Linked DNA regions of Lytechinus pictus. The protein of the gene in region 1 interacts with the protein of each later gene in a pairwise test. Links are inferred from orthologs where the notes say so. Each region holds a gene or a part of one and is shown in the gene's direction. Other genes may lie near its edges.

The links.
Region 2: the proteins of intraflagellar transport protein 140 homolog (region 1) and intraflagellar transport protein 20 homolog interact in a protein complementation assay, tested with the Caenorhabditis elegans proteins (2 studies listed by BioGRID). The link is inferred for Lytechinus pictus from reciprocal best matches to the Caenorhabditis elegans genes che-11 and ift-20.

What each region holds. Positions count from the first base shown.
Region 1 is NC_087254.1:17,771,909-17,781,650, forward strand, and holds the start of intraflagellar transport protein 140 homolog, read left to right. Parts: upstream 1-4,803; 5' UTR 4,804-4,897; coding exon 4,898-5,038; intron 5,039-5,451; coding exon 5,452-5,673; intron 5,674-6,432; coding exon 6,433-6,560; intron 6,561-8,664; coding exon 8,665-8,756; intron 8,757-9,742.
Region 2 is NC_087246.1:4,616,313-4,626,525, reverse strand, and holds the start of intraflagellar transport protein 20 homolog, read left to right. Parts: upstream 1-5,832; 5' UTR 5,833-6,288; coding exon 6,289-6,415; intron 6,416-8,926; coding exon 8,927-9,012; intron 9,013-10,213. UniProt on the Caenorhabditis elegans protein: Component of the intraflagellar transport (IFT) complex B required for transport of proteins in the motile cilium. Required for ciliary entrance and transport of specific ciliary cargo proteins such as che-3 which are related to motility.

The sequences.
Region 1 (9,742 bases):
TTCCATCTAAACCCATTTTCAGAAAGTCTCTTTGCTTCCACCATATAAATAATTTTTTTTATTTTACTTAGAATCTATTTGTAATTAACATTTTCCTGAATTTCTACATCTAATGATAAAGTTATTCCTAATATTTTGATAGTTTCAACTAATTTACCAAATGGAACTTTAATATCTTTTGTAGAAAGAGGACCCAACGCTAATATAAATGTGTTTTCTTTATTCATTTTTAAGCCTGAAATCTTAGCAAAATCTCCAAATATTTTTCCGATTCTATCAATAGATTGGGAGTCCCTCACAAAAAGTGTCATATCATCCGCATAGAGCGCTTGTTTGACTTCTACATTACCAAAGCTGATTCCGTGGATGGATTTATCTTTACGAATGGTATTAGAAAGGACCTCGATACAAAGTATAAACAAATAAGGAGAGAGGGGATCCCCATGTCTCACACCTCTTTCAACACTAAAGTATCCTGTCGATATACCCCCATTAAATACGCAACTCAGGGCATTTTTGTATAATGTTTTGATCCAGCTGCAAAATGAGGACCCGAAGCCAAAAGAACGTAAAACGTTTTGCAAAAAGATGTGCGAGACCGAATCAAACGCTTTTTCAAAATCTATTGCCATTAAGAAACCAGGTGCATTATTTTGTTGTGTGTAGTAAATCATATCGTCAATCAATCTTTTTTTTTTTTTTTTTTTTTTTTTTTTTTTTTTTTTTAAACAAGTGCACACCTAGTTACCAATAATGCATATAGCATTTACATTTATTTGAAAGCAGGATAAAAGAGCATTGAAGATTAAATGCTTTGCTGACGGGCATAGGTGCCGCGGCCGGGGATCGTACCCCGGACTTTTTCATGTATAGCCAGGCGCCTTAGACCACTCGGCCACGGCACCTCCTAAATCTAATTGATCTAATACGATACGATACACTACACGAAGATAAACGATACTAGTTATAATCGCGATAAATCGAGACATGAAAAAGTTAATAACGATAATGACGTCATTCAAGATGGCAACTTGCAAGAAAAACCGTCAGGTCAGGTGAAAATGTCTTAGATGACAGATTTCTCAATCATCCAGAGGATTTTTTTCAATAACTCCGGCCCAAGGTATGCAATTACTTAAGTTATTTATATTACCCTGATAATGGAAACCATGAAAATGTCAATTTTGCCTAAAAAACAGTTTTAAATCGCGATCTATAAAACGCTAGTTCACTATACGTTGGCTGTAGGTAGGGGCCCCCCTCCTCTTCAGTCTATGTATGGTGAGTGGAGCCAACGCAGTTCAGCGGAACAACCAAAATACAGAGACTGAAGCTTTTGGTCTAGGTCATGGGCCAAAACCACTCACTCACACGTATTGCGAGGTTAGTATGCTATACTATACAAACCTCGCACCACGTATGGTTGGAACTACCCCTTATCAACCACCTAATTTTCTAAGCATCATATCTGCGAAAATATTTATCACTCATCAGTTTTACCTAGTTTTCGTCTCATTTGTGCAGAAAATTGAGCAGATCAGATTCCCATGTTTCGATCGGCAACTCCGATTCAATTCGCGTATATATCGGCGAACAACGAATACGACGGTTTTACATTTGCTCATTTGCACCCTTCTTTTGAAACCGACCACCTGCAATACACTAAGTTTACGGCCGATTCTTGTCGCGGTGGTGAAATATTTTTACTCTTTCAAATCAGTTCTATGATGTCAACATGCTAAATCATTGTCTCACTACTTCCATCCACTGCGAGCTCTGGCACATGATTCGACGATTGATGACGGATATTTGTTCTAAAGCCGTTTCCTATCGGAAACGGGGCGGGTTCGGGTCTAGTCATACAATTTTGATAAATTCTACTAAATTTTTACCCTTTTACCCTTTTCCCCTTCTTTTTCTCTTGTAAAAATCAATTCTTACCGTTCCTATGGACACTGCGCCTACTCTCCTGCGCGTATCGTTTGTAATGAGCAATAATTTTGATGCGCGCAAGGTGGTCGGTTTCAAAAGAGGTGGTCGATATGTAGTGGTCTCACCATACGTGTTTACAGTATGGACTTTAGAGTTGTCGGTTACCATCGCTTTATAACGCGAATAATGTTAGTCGAAACTCATTCCGCTACTCACCAGGACTTTTTCTGGTGAAAAGCGTTCCATTTTCAATTTTACAAATTTTATTAATGTAAAAATCATGTAAAAAAGAGCAAAATCGCTTACCTCGGCCTGGAAAGTTGCTCCGCATGTCTCTTCGACGGAAATAAAAGGAAGGTTGTTGGTGGCGCTAATAGTGGGCTCCACACTAACTCTTTTTTTCTACTGGTCCAACCTATTCATGTCGGACCAGTAGATACCCAGTTTTTCCATTTTTTACTGGTCCGAACCTAAAATCTACTGGTCCCAAAAAATAAAGAAAACATTAAAAAAAAGGCGTTGGTTTATTTTGCTTTCCTTTTTTGTTACCCCCCCCCCCAAAAAAAAAAAAATGAAGGACTGAAAGACAAAAAGAAAGCAAGACAAAAAGAAAGAAACAAAGGAAGAAAGAATAAAAGAAAGGAAGGAAGAAAAAAAGAAAAGGTAAAGAAAGGATAGATGTGAAGGAAGGAAAAAAAGAAAGAACTAATGAAAGAAAGAAGGAAAGGAAGGAAGGAAGGAAAGAAAGAACAAAAAATAGAAAGAAAAAAACAAAAGAAAAAAAAGGAAGGAAAGAAAGAAAGAAAGAAAGAAAGAAAGAAGGAAAGAAAGAAAAAAAGAAGGAAAGAAATGAAGTAAGCAAGAAAGAAAGAAAAACAAAAGACAGAAATTAATGAAAAAAGGAAAGAAGGAAGCAATAAAAAAGAAAGAGAGAGAGTAAAAGGAGAGATGGAAAGAAGGAATAAAGAAAGAAAGAATGAATAAAAGGAAGGAAGGAAGAAAAAGGTAAAGAAAGGATAGATGTGAAGGAAGGAAAAAAGGAAAGAACTAAAGAAGGAAAGGAAGGAAGGAAAGAAAGAACCAAAATAAGAAAGAAAGAACAAAAGAAAATAAATGAATAAAGAAATGAAGGAAAGAAAGAAAGAAGGAAAGAAATGAAGCAAGCAATATAGAAAAAGAACAAAAGACAGAAAGTAATGAAGGAAAGAAAGAAGGAAAGAAGCAATAAAAAAGAAAGGCTAAAAGGAGAGATGGAAAGAAGGAAGAAAGAAAGAAGAAAGGAAGAAAAAAAAAAAGGTAAAATGATAGATAGAAGGAAAAAAGAATGAAGGAAAGAAATAAAGAAGGAAGGAAGCAGTCAAGCAATATATAAAAGAAAGAAAATATAAAAGAATAGATGAAAGGAAGAAAAAAAGAGGCCAAGACAAAGAAAGGAAGGAATGAAGGAAAGAACGAAAGAAGAATGGAAAGGAAGCAAGCAGTAAAAAAAAAAAAAAAAAAAAAAGGTAAAAGGATAGTTGGAACGAAGGGGAAAAAAGAACAAAAAACAGTATAAAGAAAGGAAGGAATGAATGAAAGAAAGGGCTGAAAGAAGGAAGAAATAAAAAAGGGTAAAGAAAGGATGGATGGAGTGAAGAAAGAAACAAAGAAAGAAAGTGACAAAGAATGAAGGAAAGAAAGGGTAAAAAGAAGGAAGGAAAGGAAGAAAGAAAGAGATAAATATAGGATGGATGAACTCAAGAATTAAAGAAAGAAAGAAATAAAAAATGAAAGAAGAGAGGGAAGAAACAAAGAAAGATTGAAAAGAAAGAAGGAAAGAAAGATAGAAAGAAAACAGAGGAAGAAAGCTAAAACTATCATTATAAATAAATTATCAGTTTCTTTTTGGCTCAATTAAGATGTATAGCTACGAAAGAACCCAAGTGTATCAACACACACACAAAAGCATTTGTGGGGCTATCATGTATTCAGATGATATCACTCGAAACCCGATCTCTTTGAACTAAAACAGAAGTGAAAATTTCTCCTTTTACTGCTTACAAATGACAGAGTTACCCCAATTTTTAGGAAATATGGACATTACAAGAGCTTTTCAGTAGTCATGTTAGTGTGAAATGTGAATTTTGACAGTTCTGTGAGAGATTTTTGCCAGAGGTTAGCCAAGCTTCGTTCGTGCAGCCAGTATAGTAGAAAATTTACCATGTGGCTGTGTGGCTGGCTAGCCATATGTACACTGTATGTTACCCTAGTAAAAATTGCATACAATTCATTCTGTGTGTATTCTGTGTGTGAATGACAGAAATTAACTGGAGGAAGATGATTTGCAATTTGAGTCATGGAATATTTTTAATGTTTATGTTGGACTAGTGAATTTGACCATTTCTGGAAAAGTTACTGGCCCATCAATGGTTTTTGTTACTGTTTATGTCGGACCCATAAATCTTGCTATTTTAGGAATAATTACTGGCCCGACAATGATATTTTTTTACTGGTCATGTCGGACCAGTAAATCTTGCTATTTCTGAAAATCTACTGGCCCGACAGTGATTTTTACCGGTCTGGGACCGTCGGACCGGGGCTATTCTCCACCTAATGAATATTTATGATGACCTGCATGTTACTGTTTTCACATAATATTGCTGAACATTATTTGTTGTCTTAATTCTGAAAACTATAATAAAGGGAGAAGATAGTTTCTTCAAATGGAGGTTCAACAATTTCAAAGCAAAATACAGATACCTCTAGTAACTTCACTTACTCTAATTCAATTGACTGTCCTAAGATTAGAAAATTAAAGAATGAACAATATAGCCTTTTTCACTTTGCAAAAATGAAGAAAGATTATCCTTTCCCATTTTTTTTTCTACAGAATCATATTGCTCATTTACCTCTTAGGTCCGAGGACGGACCTATAATTTGTATGGAAACCACATCATTTTGAAAGAACAAGCTTGTTGTATCCAAGATGGCTATTTTCTTTGATCATCGAGTTCAGTCAGGCTCAACTAGCCATGTAGATATATCATGGCATAATGAACAACCTTTACTTGCTATTGCAATGAGAGGCCAGCAAGGCGGAGGTGTCATCAACATTTTCAATGAAGAGGTAAGGAAAAGGTTTTTTTTCTCTCGAGAAAGATTTACATTTTTCATGACCCATCTTCATGTTATTTATTTTCTATCTACGTAAAGTGATTGCTATTCATCTTAAAGGAACAATATTTTTAATGAAAGAAAATACTGTGAATTCAAGTTCTGTGTTGATATTTTTGGTGTGGTTTAATCTTTATAGTGGATGATGTAAATGAAAACATTTCAATTTCTTTCCCTTGTCGATATCAAAATAAAATAATCGCTTATGAAACGGAATATATCCGTGTGTGCGACAAATGAGTTCATAAACCTTCAAAAATCACTCATGAATAATAATTCTATGAATTATCTTTATCACTGCCTGTCATTGTTTATTTGCCCTTCCTCTGAATAAAGGAAGATTGATTTATGTGTATTGTTAATTAGGGTCAAGCCCTTCCAGCAGCTAATCTTCAACGTTCTTGCTACTCCACCTCATTGGCCTGGCATCCTACCCATCCTTCAGTGGCTGTAGGATGGGAGAGTGGAGAGATTCTAATCTGGAATGAGCAAGATCAGCAGCTTCAGGAAGCCACCAAACTTCACAAGGCTCAGGTCTGCTTGCTTCAATGGAGTGTCAAGGGTCAACGTTTATTATCAGGAGATAAGGTCAGACTTGGCAAGTGTTTTATGAAGAGTTTTGTTTCTTCATTCACTGACATGATATAAGCTACAGAAATAATTGCATCTGATTGGTTGAGAACAAATTAGTCAGTAAAAAATAATTTGCAAAGCTCTTCATGAACCCCCCTCCTGGATTCTTATGGATCTATCAGTTTCTTGTTAAAATAAACCCTGTATTAATCTGAGCTTTTATATCTCTCTGATATGATATCAAATGCACATGCATGAGTTTGGAGTTCTATGCATAAAGCTGCAACTTGATGCATGACATGTATGTGCACAAGGGATGTATCTTTATAGGTATGTAGTGATTCATCACTTTATTTAACATTCAAATTGTTCAAAACAAAGGAATGAGTACAAACGTGGGAGGAATTACGACCAGGACATATCTGGGTACATAGAATAGCCTAAACAGGACATACATAAATACTAATAACAAAATGGCATAACAATACAAATTGTCTTTTAACTTCTATGGAACTACGACAAATTTTCTTGGTCAACAAAACTTATTCCTTGCTTGACTCCACAAGAAGATTTAACATTCTGTTATAAGCTACTGAATGTATCTAATTTGACAAAAAAAATCTATATCATAGCATTCTTGCCCTTGTTATTGATAACCGGGTCTTTTACACTTTGCTTATATATCATATCACTTAATGTAGGTCTGTTATGCAATAATCAGGAATATCGAAGGAGATTACTAATTCTCGCTTTCTTGATTAACATTGATTATAGGAAGGAACATTGATCATGTGGAAGAGTGACGGAAAAGGTCATCTGACTAGTAATCCCATCAGTCAATTACCATCTCAACAGACGCCAACTCAATGTTTATTTCCCTATGGTGGACCAAAACAGGATGAGTAAGAGCAACTATCCTTTTTACCTTCGCCAAATGAAGTTTGAAAGGGGTGCAATCACCCCAGATCCTGGTTTCTGTCATTCAAGTGTTATTCCTGACTAGAAATGTTCAGTATACAGTGCGTCCCACAAAAAACGAAACCGAGGTTTACGAATGATTTATCATAACTTAATCACAAATACAGTAGACAAATGACCTATCATTGTAAAGCTTAGAATCTCTTCTCTCAGCTGGTATAACATACAAGATTTCTCATCCTCGCATGAGTGAATAAAAACAATTTGAAGAAAGGATAGCAAAAAGTCATTTGGCGGGAGATATCAAAATTTCAAAAAGAAAATCACATGCCTAAGAAGTTCAATATTTGCTCTTTAATTTGATAGCTAAATCGCAGAAAATGGTCAAGAAATAACAAAGCTATGCTTCTTCAAAACAATGCTTGTATTTCCATAATTTCATGAAACATACATGTTTTCACCGGTTTCTCACCTAAGCTATCGCACGGTTAACAAAAGACTTTATGCATGGCTGATCGTCAACAAAACGGAGTGTCGAGTAAGTCTGAAAGCTATCCAGTAAAACCTCTTCATTTTTTGAAATTATTGGAATTCAAGCCTTATTTCAAATAAACAGAACTTTGTTATTTCTTGACCGTTTTCTGTAACTGAGGTATCAAATTTAAGAGCAGATATTGAAATTTTTAAAAATGTGAGTTTCTTTTTGAAACTCAGATACAGCCCGCCAAGTGACTTTTTGGTTTCCTTTCTTCAAATTGATTTTGCTCACTCATGCATGAATGATAAATAATCTAAGTTATTTCAAATGAAAGAGGAGACACTCAGCTTTACATTTGTCTATTGTATTTGTGATTAAGTTATGGAAAATCATTGATAAATCTTGGTTTCGTTTTTTCTGGGATGTACTCTATATTTAATGAGCTGTGTGCAGATTAAATTAAGGCATTGTTGCCCTTACTATTCATCAGGTTATTGGCAGGTTTGTCCATTGCAAATGTTGTGGATCAACTTACTTTCTCACTTTTTAACATATTTCTAATACAAAATTTTGCATAAACATTGGTCTTAAGGCACATTTTTGCATGTGTTGATGATTTTTATATTTAGGGCAAAAATTTGTTAAAAATTTTGAGGTCATGGCCCTGGAAAGCGGGGATGCTGGGGGTGCTATAGCACGCCCAAGATTTTTCATGGGGTGCTGCATATGTAATAACCATAGGCAGCACCCCCCTAGGAATCAGGTTGACAAGCCAACAACAAAAAAAAAACCTCTCAAAATGACATGTTTGGGAGCAATTACCTTTATTTAATTTTTTTTTTCTTGTCATTTTTTTCCAGATGACAATCCCCTTCATAATACCCCCAGCATCTCTTATTTAAAACTCATTCCAGGGCCCTGCTTGTTTTTCCAAGTTTCATACTACTTCCTCACTTTTTTACCAGTGCTCATGAAATTTGGCACACTTGTCTTGAAGTAAAGAGGGGCAACACATTTTTTCTCTATTTATTGGAAACTGTTTTGCCATGGTAACGGCATTGGATGGGGGGGGGGGTAAGGGGTGGTAATTACTGTCAGTGATATTTCTTGTCTTTAATTGTTTGTATTGTTTTGGTATCCATTAGCATGCAAATGTTGCTATTTATGCATTCATTCAATTATTGATTTAACAATCATACACTAATTAGTGTTTACTGTCACATTTGGCTTTAATACATCTATAGAATAAATCAGTAGTACAATATTGAAAGAAGATATGAAAAGAACAATCATTGCTATCCTCTCAGAATTTAACTGGGAGTTGAGGATAGGTGATGCAGTCATATCTACATGGCTTTTATAATGTGTATGGATTCAGGTCAAAACATAAAGGATTGCTTCCAGAAAATTTACAAATTAAACAATTGACAAACAATTCTATATTCTTAGAAATAAGATATTTTTATGTCACTTTATTCGGGTGTCTCTTTCAATAATCTCTCGAAAAAAACTCTTCCAATTCACTATCACTCTCATCTTTGCTGTCTTACTTTGTCAATGTAGATTTCCACTCAATTTCTTTCCTTTTTTTGTCAATTTATGGTGTAAAGTGATCGGAGTGCCCCATGGAGCTCAAATTTGTACAAAGGTTCTTCCAGTCTGTTAGCGGATGGCAATGCTTGCTTTGTAGGAGGAGAGGAAGGTAAGTTGCATTTCTTCCCCAATAGTACCTGTGGGTGCTTCGTGGTCTAGTGGTTCTGACTCTTGCCTTTGAACAGAGGGTCGTGGGTTCAAATCGTAGCCATGGCGTGTTTTCCTTTAGCAAGAAATTTATCCACACTGTGCTGCCATCGACCCAGGTGAGGTGAATGGGTACCTGGCAGGAGTAATTCCTTGCATGCACTGAGCGGCGGTGATGGTAGCTTGAGCTAGAGCCAGGGTAATGATAGCAGCGCTTTGTATCCTCTGGCAAAAAGGGCTTTATAAATCCAGCTATTATTATTACCTGCATGTACTAGAAATGAATTTGGTCAACATTATATCCAAGAGATGTTTGACAAACAATTTTTGGATTAATCCCATATAATATGTTCATCAGTTTGCATTGCATACATGTTAATTATTCTGAAGTATTGAGTCAGTTTGTTCTCTTTTGGCAATTCCAGTTTAGAAATGCATTACAAACAACATTTCACAATCACTTTGGGACAGTTTCTTTCATATTCAAATTCACAACCAAAATTAAATGTTTTAATGTTATACTTGTATGATATAACATCTCTGTGTATATCCAGAGTACTATGAATAGCCTAGCTTAAAATCTAACAAACCTATACAGCATTTAGTGTATTCAGAGATTGATTCCTATCGGATATTTCCCTCTGGCGGAACTTTAATAAAGCCGTTTGTAAGTTATACAAAAATTTACGAATGACTGGTGACCCTTTCTTGTGGAAGATGATAACCATCAAGTTTTCATTGGTGTTGATTTACCTCCTACAAATTGACTCTTAAAGGGATGGTCCGTGCTGAAAGTATTTATAGCTTGATAAATAGAGTAGAATTCACTGAGCAAAATGCTGAAAATTTCATCAAAATTGGATAACAAATATTAAAGTTATTGAATTTTAAAGTTTAGCAATATTTCGTGAAAACAGTTGTCATGAATATTCATTAGGTGGGCTGATG
Region 2 (10,213 bases), on another chromosome or scaffold:
GCTTAACCTAGCTAGGCTCATATAATTTTACGTATATTATGCTACCATAGATCCCAGGAAATCTATTGATTTTGAGGTCAGAAGGTAAAAGGTGAAGTCACCACCTTTCTCATTTCTTGCTGGACCAATTACTCTATTTTCCGTGTTACAGGTGGGGCGTATTATGAGCGTGCCTTAGCGACACAATTGTTTTTAAATAAAGTGATTTTAATTTTTCAACCAGTATCTCAAATTTCTGCCATCTTATCTAAAAATGTATTCATTTCGTGAGAAAAATTAATAGATATTAGACCATAAGGGGGCACTCAATATCATGAGGATACATTTTGGGGGAAATTCAATATCTTGATATCTTTAACAGTTTAATGTATTGATACATTATATTTCAACATAGGATGGACCATTTGCTAAGTTTTCATTAATAAATGCTCTCCTTGCCATTGTCAAATGGCCATGACCAAAGGATTTTAGCAACATTTCAGCATGCTATACATATGCATGCAAGACCAAAAATTGCTCAAAAGCATGACTTCATGTACAGACACAATACAGATTCTGTTACTTGCCAAAAATTAATGTATCATTATTTATACTCGTACTAATTTTAAAAAAAAATCATATCATGTTTATAAAGAAGGTTCCAGCACCCCCTCCTCCCCCCCAAAAAAAAATAAACACTCAGTAAACAGAAGATAATTAGACAAATATATAGAAATTTATTGAACAGTAAATGAATATAAAAATCATTTTCAATTTTTTTTCTCTCTCTTTCATAGTAAGTTTTCTATGAATGGCCAAAAAAACCCAGTAAACAGAAGATAATTATCGAGAGAAATATATAAGAAATTTATGGAACAGTAAATAAACATAGAAAATGGTTTTCAATATTTTTTTTACATTATGAGTTTTCTATGAATCGCAAAAAATAATAAACAGAAGATAATTAATTAGAGAAATATATAAGAAATTTATTGACCAGTTAAGAAACAGATAATCGTTTCAAATATTGTATTTTCTTTGCAGTAAGAATATGAATGGCAACAAAAAGCAATAAACATAAGATAATTAATTCTAGAAATATATAATAAATTTATTGAAAAGTAAAATAAACATCGAAAATTGTTTTTATCTTGTAATTTGTCTTCCTAGCAGTACAACTTTTGCTTCCATGATCAGAGCAGATCTAACATAGACTTTAGACAAAGCTCCATGTCTGATATAACATGTATTTCATTGCCTGATGTCTCATGACATCGGGCATCAAAAGTGTGAATCGGCGCATCGGCATGCTCATGGATAATTCATAGTGCTTGCAGTAAAAGCAAAAATTTATAAGGCTTCGCAACTGAAGTTGCTTGATCTCGCATGTGTCCGCAGGTTTTGCCATTTCTCTTCTTCGTCAAACTAACCTTATTTTAGCCACTACTTGAAGAAGTCATGCTGCCTTGTCAAAAGGCTAGATCTAATAAATAAAGCATTATCTCCTTTGATGATGCGTCACCATTCACATTATGCAAATCCAGGTGAAGATCAATGCTGTGCTGTTTCTCTTTCATATTATAAACAATTTATTTTTTATGTGATAGCAAGATTGGTATTTTTACAAGCATTCTTTATTTTCTTCTTATGAAATTAATTTATACCCTGGGACACTGTTTGTGACTTTTTCTAGTAAATATTCAATGACTATGCAATTTGTGTAAAACAGGTATTTCTTTAAGGCAGTTGGCAGCTTAAAGGTCAAGTCCACCCCAGGAAAATGCTGACTTGAATAAATAGAGAAAATTCAAACTTGCATAATGCTGAAAATTTCATCAAAATCAAACGTAGAATAAGAAAGTTTTGACATTTGAAAGTTTCGCTTATTTTTGACAAAACAGTGATATACACAACAAGGTGAGTCAGTCGATGATGTCAATCACTCACTATTTCGTTTGTTTTTTACTGTTTGAATTATACAATATTTCATTTTCTATACATTTGACAATAAGGACCAACTTGACTGAACCATATAGTATTAAACAAAGCTAATTCCACATGTTCAGGGAGGAATTAATCGTTGTATCACTTGACATTGAGGAGAAAATTAGAATATTTCATATTTCCTATAATAAAATACAAAAGAAATAGTGAGAGGATGACGTCATCAGTCTCCTCAGGTGCATACAGACCAGGATGTGCATATAACTGTTTTTTTTAATTAAGCAAAACTTAAAAATGTCATAACTTTCTTATTTTACATCCGATTTTGATGAAATTTTCAGTGTTATGCTTGTTGATTTTTTCTCTTTTTATTCAAATCAACTTTTTGTTGGGGTGGACTTGTCCTTTAATGTAATTGTTGTAAAACAGTACTAAATTACTCCATAACAGTATCTCTTGTGAAAAAAATATTTGATTTGTATTAGGTCTACTCTGTGATTGTGTAGTTATACCTTGTTTCAATAAGTTCATTACAAGTTGAACATTTAACTACATCACACCAATGACAAAAGGGGTAGAAGCATAGTTTTGCAACCTTTACTTAAAAGTTCAGCTCTTTCAAGAAAAAGCTAATCTTCACCATACAAAATGTGAATATGGATTGTTTAACAACTATATACAAGATTATGTTCTGCCTTCTTGAAATGGTTGCAGGAGGCTTATTCCAGCTTGTGTGGCTAATTTTATCTCCCGACAGTTTATTCTTTTTTTAAAACCTCCATTGAAACTTGCCTCACCTCCTTTTAAATTGGCTTCACCATAATTTGTAGTACAGTTTATTATTTTTTAAAAACCTCCATTGAAACTTGCCTCGCCTCCTTTTAAATTTGTAGTACAGTTTATTCTTTTTAAAAACCTCCATTGAAACTTGCCTCACCTCCTTTCAAATTTGTAGTACAGTTTATTCTTTTAAAAAACCTCAATTGAAACTTGCCTCACCTCCTTTTAAATTGGCTTCACCATAATACAGTTTATTTTTTAAAACCTCCATTGAAACTTGCCTCACCTCCTTTTAAATTGGCTTCACCGTAATACAGTTTATTCTTTTTAAAAACCTCCATTGAGGCTTGCCTCACCTCCTTTTAAATTGGCTTCACCATAATTTGTAGTACAGTTAATTCTTTTTTTAAAACCTCCATTGAAACTTGCCTCACCTCCTTTTAAATTGGCTTCACCATAATACAGTTTATTTTTTAAAACCTCCATTGAAACTTGCCTCACCTCCTTTTAAATTGGCTTCACCATAATACAGTTTATTCTTTTTAAAAACCTCCATTGAGGCTTGCCTCACCTCCTTTTAAATTGGCTTCACCATAATTTGTAGTACAGTTAATTCTTTTTTTTAAACCTCCATTGAGGCTTGCCTCACCTCCTTTTAAATTGGCTTCACCATAATTTGTAGTACAGTTTATTCTTTTTAAAAACCTCCATTGAAACTTGCCTCACCTCCTTTCAAATTTGTAGTACAGTTTATTCTTTTTAAAAACCTCAATTGAAACTTGCCTCACCTCCTTTCAAATTTAGTACAGTTTATTCTTTTAAAAAATCTCCATTAAAACTTGCCTCACCTCCTTTTAAATTGGCTTCACCATAATTTGTAGTAGTTTATTCTTTTTAAAAACGGACTTGCCTCGCCTCCTTTTAAATTGCCTTCACCATAACTTGTAATACAGTTTATTCTTTTTAAAAACCTCCATTGAAACTTGCCTCACCTCCTTTTAAATCGGCTTCACCATAATTTGTAGTACAGTTTATTCTTTTTTTAAACCCTCCATTGAAACTTGCCTCACCTCCTTTTGAATTGGCTTCACCATAATTTATAGTACAGTTTATTCTTTTTTATAAACCTCCATTGAAACTTGCCTCACCTCCTTTTAAATTTGTAGTACAGTTTATTTTTTTTAAAACCTCCATTGAAACTTGCCTCACCTCCTTTTAAATTGGCTTCACCATAATACAGTTTATTCTTTTCAAAAACCTCCATTGAGGCTTGCCTCGATCACCTCCTTTTAAATTGGCTTCACCATAACTTGTAATACATGTATTCTTTTTAAAAACCTCCATTGAAACTTGCCTCACCTCCTTTCAAATTTGTAGTACAGTTTATTCTTTAAAAAAACCTCAATTGAAACTTGCCTCACCTTCTTTTAAATTGGCTTCACCATAATACAGTTTATTTTTTTAAACCTCCATTGAAACTAGCCTCACCTCCTTTTGAATTGGCTTCACCATAATTTGTAGTACAGTTTATTCTTTTTTAAAAACCTCCATTGAAACTTGCCTCACCTCCTTTTAAATTGGCTTCACCATAATTTGTAGTACAGTTTATTCTTTTTGTAAAACCTCCATTGAAACTTGCCTCACCTCCTTTTGAATTGGCTTCACCATAATTTGTAGTACAGTTTATTCTTTTTTAAAAACCTCAATTGAAACTTGCCTCGCCAGCTCCTTTTAAATTTGTAGTACAGTTTATTCTTTTTTAAAAACTTCCATTGAAACTTGCCTCACCTCCTTTTAAACTGGCTTCACCATAATACAGTTTATTCTTTTTAAAAACCTCCATTGAAACTTGCCTCACCTCCTTTTAAATTGGCTTCACCATATATACAGTTTATTCGTTTTAAAAACCTCCATTGAAACTTGCCTCACCTCCTTTTAAATTGGCTTCACCATAATACAGTTTATTCTTTTTAAAAACCTCCATTGAAACTTGCCTCACCTCCTTTTAAATTGGCTTCACCATAATACAGTTTATTCGTTTTAAAAACCTCCATTGAAACTTGCCTCACCTCCTTTTAAATTGGCTTCACCATATACAGTTTATTCTTTTTAAAAACCTCCATTGAAACTTGCCTCACATCCTTTTAAATTGGCTTCACCATAATACTGTTTATTCTTTTTAAAAACCTCCATTAAAACTTGCCTCACCTCCTTTTAAATTGGCTTCACCATAATTTGTAGTACAGTTTATTCTTTTTAAAAACCTCCATTAAAACTTGCCTCACCTCCTTTTAAATTGGCTTCACCATAATACAGTTTATTCTTTTTTAAAACCTCCATTGAAACTTGTCTCACCTCCTTTTAAATTGGCTTCACCATAATATTCAGGTAAGGTATATTCATTCTTTTTTTTAAAAACATCATTGTTCACTTAAGCTTCCCTCACCTAGATCAATTTGCTATATATAATACCTTTTATTCTACACTATTCTTCCCTTTAAAAAAACCTGATTGTACTCCTGCCTCCCCTGATCTGACATTTGCCTCTCAACGTACTGGAAATAGATACCCTTTGTTCAATATTTTTGTGTTTTTGACACCCTTATCACGTTACGTACGTAACGTGCCCTCTCTTGAAAAAGACATCCTTTTTACGTGTTTTTTTGGTCGTGCATGGTATCCACTCGTCAATATAAGTGGCCCCCCGGGCCTACTGTACAGTGTTATTTTATTATCTCTTTATATCGGAAACTTCGTTTTACCGAATTGCCATGCACTCTCTCCGACGCGTTTGAAGTCTTATACCCTTTTTACACACGCTAAAATTTCCTTAACCCCGTACTATAGGTGGGGCTAAATTGCCATTTAGCCCCACCTATAGTACGGGGTTAAGCTTAGCCCACTTTCTTTTTACACAGCATTTTTGCAAAGTGGGCTAACCCCACCTTTAGTACGGGACTATTTGGCCCTGCAAAAAAGCAGGGTTATCCCAGCAATTGCGGTGCTAAGAGCGATAGTACGGGGTTAAGATCGCTAGTGTAAAACGAAAGTGGGCTAAGCTTAACCCCGTACTATAGGTGGGGCTAAATGGCAATTTGGCCCCACCTATAGTACGGGGTTAAGGAAATTGTAGCGTGTGTAAAAAGGTACGAGTGAAGTACTTGTACTACGAATGGTCGACAAAAACCACTAGTCCGGGGTTAGCGAGTTTCGTGTGTGAAAAGCAAGCATTCCTTATCCGGGGTTAGCAATAACAATTTGGCATGTGTAAAAAGGAAAAAAAATAGTACGGGGTTAAGGATAGTACGGGGTTAGCGATAGTCCGGGGCTAAGAAAATCCTGTGTAAAAAGGGTATTAGACAGCATGGCATACTACCAGCCGATGGTACACACACACGTTATTTGACAACTTGTCTCTGGAGCCAAAGTTCCTCGCATATAACTATCTGCATGCCTGCACGCAGTGTGTATTGAACACGCACGACCACGATCTAATGAATATTCATCGGCGAGACTGACGTCATTTTACGAGTCTCCTTTCAAACTTGGATCATAAGTGCCTACCATTTACTAGTCGCAGTTACCATGGCTGACGAAGCTCTTGCAAATGCTGGTTTGCACTTTGATGACTTAAACAAAATACGAGTATTGGAACCTGAAATTCAAAGCCAGACGACAGAATTGAAAGAAGAATGTAAAGATTTTGTGGACAGTGAGTAAATTTAATTTAATCAATCGAAGTATCGAATGGAACCACTCAGGCTCAGCTCGACGCCCGTGACCAGTAGAGGCGCTGGTCAGAAAATTGGGATCGTCCCCGTTTACAGGGACTGTCTCAGTTTATAAGGATTTCTCCACACAAGAAATCTAGGAAAGTTCATTCACCTGTTGAGTGCCGACACCAATCAAGAGTGCTAGTCAATGTAAACATATCGGGTTTCATAACAAGATTATTGGAAGACGGCAAGTCATAATAAATAAACGGTGAAGTGGGGGGAATTGAGGTCACTGAATCTATTTTTAGCACTCTCAATTCCCCTAATTGCTGCCTTTGTCCCGTAGGGAGAAGTGAAGAAAAAACGTCCCCATAAACAAGGACAGTCTCAATTTATCAAGACATAATTTGTCTTGGTTTATAAGGATATCCTTGTTTTCTGGGACAATCCCAATTTTTGGACCAGCGCCTCTACTGGTGACTTAGCTCTGTGGTGCCTGCCCCTGCTCCGGCGCCGCCGCGGCGCTCCGGGACCGGGCGCCTGCACCTGCTGCGTGTGTGCGCGGTATATAGCCAAACCTTTAAGTTTTAACGTTACTTATTTTACTATTTTAGTCAATTTAGAGCTCATTCATGCATGTCAGGGGTAGACAGCCGAAATCGAAGTAAGCCACTGCTTTTTTCCCCCTTGTTTAAATTAAGCTTATTTCTTTGACTAAGTTTAGACTAGGCCTAGAGGCTAAAACGGAATAGGGCCTAATTAACTTTACCGGGAAGTGGAACTAGGCTAGTTCTTTTTATGTAATTATTCAATTTAGAATAAAGTGAAAAATCAAAGAATACAAAGATCCCTGTCAGTTGGGGTTTTGCATTGCAAATTCCCTAATGGCGGGTGCACGTTCGTGAGCCATCTGTGTATGAGGAGAAATAAAAAAAATTAAAAATGTTTAAAAACTTCTTGAAGCAGACGGCTGTCGAATGTTAGTCATGCTAATTAGATTCTACCAATCAAAATTCACTGGCAGTTTATTCAAGTCAAGAGAATGTCAGATCCTGGGCGCGCATTTCACGAAACAGGCATTTTAGACGCAATGACTGACTTTTCTTGGCACATGCACAAAATAAAGAAAGAAAATAGAGAAAGAGAGTAAGTACTAACTATAGAACAAGCAAAATAAATAAAGAAAGAAAGAAAGAGAGAATAAAAAGAAAGGACGAAAAAGTAAAAAAGAAGACATAAAAGGTTCAGAAAGCAAAAATAAAATGAAAGAAGGAAAGAGCAAACAAATGAACAGAAAAAAAAGAAAGACCCCCAAAAGGAAAAAAAAAAATGGAAGAAATGAATAACAGAAAGAAAACAAAGAAAAAAATTAAAAAGATCAAGGGAAGGAAGAAAATGAAGACAGAAAAAAAGAAAGAAGAAAGGAATACCAAAAATGATGACCAAAGAATGAAAGAAAGAGAGAGAAAGAATAGAAAAAAGGAAAAAGGTAAAAAAAATGAATGAAAAAGAAAGAAGGAAAAAAAAAGAAATAAAGAAAGAAAGATAGAAAAGGGAAACCAAGAAGCAAAAATAAAAACGAAAGAAAGAACGAAAAGGGAAAATACATGTATTTCATTATTGTCATATTGTATGATAGTAATTATTTACAACTAAAATGTAACCTCAGACAGTCAACAGTGTCCCTCTTTCACTATTTTGTTTTCAATTGTTTGAATTGTACAATATTTGTATTTTTACAGATTTGACATTAATGTCCAACTTGACTGAACCATAAAGTGTTAAACCAATGGTAATTCCACATGTTCAGGGAGGAATAAAACTTTGTTTTACATGACAGTGATGAGAAAATTAGAATGTTTCATAATAGAGATTATTATCTAAATAGAGCATTTTAGCCATACATTATAAACGCTTATTTTGGTCTGCATCAATTGCCTGTGCAGTATCAGAGCGTATCTCTAACAGTGACCAAAATCCGATGAATATCCCATAGGCTCGTGTACAAAATTTGCCATTGAGTATAAGACCATCAACAGTCTAGTGCGCATGCGCGAATGCGTAAAATATACAACGCGTACAACAATGAAAGTAATGCGATGCACAGCATAGATCACAATTACGCTCAATGAGGTCATAATGAACTACATATAAGTCACATGTCAATGACCCTAAAGTGATGATGTGATAAGTGATATGACTTTTTTTTTAATGTGTTATGCTTGTTTTATTTTTCTCTTATTCAAATCAACTATATATTTTTTTTTTTTGGGGGGGGGCAGTTTAAACTCTAATGCCTCAAAGTGTTGTATATCTAAAGCATTTCATGCCAATTTTGTGTTGGCTTCAGGGTTACAATTAAGTTATTCACATATATCTCATCCTAAATTTGATTTTTTTTTTAATATATGCTCACAAAGAGCAGGTTATATGGTAAATTTATTAATAACAAAGATATTGCGTTAATCATGTGTACTTTGGGTTTTTTTTCCTTTTTAATCTTACAGAAATTGGAGACTTTCAGCATATTGTAGGAGGATTCATTGACAAAGTGGATCAACTTGCAAAAGAAGTTGAGAAAGAGAAGATGAAGGTAATTAATAGACTAACAATTTGAAAATACAAGTATGGTGACTTTAAAGTGCATCCTAAGACGTCTGACACATATTAAAAAAAGAAGTTATTCTCGTTTATAACCATGCCAACCCTATTTTTATACTAATTTAGAAACAAAATATATTGTGGAACCTTGAAGACAGGCAAATTTTTAAAGAAAAAAATATATATATACCTAAGACAAATAGAATGATGATAATGCAGTGTTGTGGTTCTGTGGATATGTCTCTGAACTTTGAACCACAAGGTCTAGGGTTCAAGTGCCACCACAATACTTGTGTCCTTCACCAAGGCATTTATTTACATTTGCCACTTTACACCCATGTGTAGCACATGGTTACGCAGTTGGAAGAAATTCCTTGAATGCTCAAGCACCTTATGGGGTATCTGGGAAAGTACAGATGGTACGACTTGCAAGATTTCTTTTATTTTTGTCTCGCCTGCATAGCAGAGCGAGACTACAAGCGCCGCTCTTCTGACTGCGGCGACATTGTCAATGTTGAAATCTTAATCAAGGTAAAGTTTTTGAAATGTCATCATAACTTAGAAAGTATATGGACCTAGTTCATAAAGCTTGGACATAAGGGCAATCAAGTATTACTGAACATCCTGCCTGAGTTTCAGGTCACATGACTAAGGTCAAAGGTCATTTAGGGTCAATGAACTTAATATCGAAATCTTAACCAAGGTCAAGTTTTTGAAAATGTCATCATAACTTAGAAAGAATATGGACCTAGTTCAGAAAACTTAAACATAAGGGTATTAGTGTATCACTGAAGATCCTGCCTGAGTTTCAGGTCACATGATTAAGGTCAAAGGTCACTTACGGTCAAAGTTTGGCCATGTTGGGGTTATTTGAGGAATCGTCATCATAACTTTAAAAGTTTATGGATCTAGTTCATGAAACTAGGACATAAGAGCAACCATGTATCCCTAAATATCATGAGCGAGTTTCAGGTCACATGACCAAGGTTGAAGGCCATTTAGAGTCAACAAACTTTGGTAATGTTGGGGGTATTTGTGGAATTGTCATCATACATGTAACTTTAAAAGTTCATGGATCTAATCGCTAGAGGGTATTCATTTGTCTCGCAATCTACTATGGTCAACAAGGAAATTCGTGATCACTCTCGCAAAAAGTGTTCACTAGCTTTCTAGGAAATTCGTGATCACTCTCG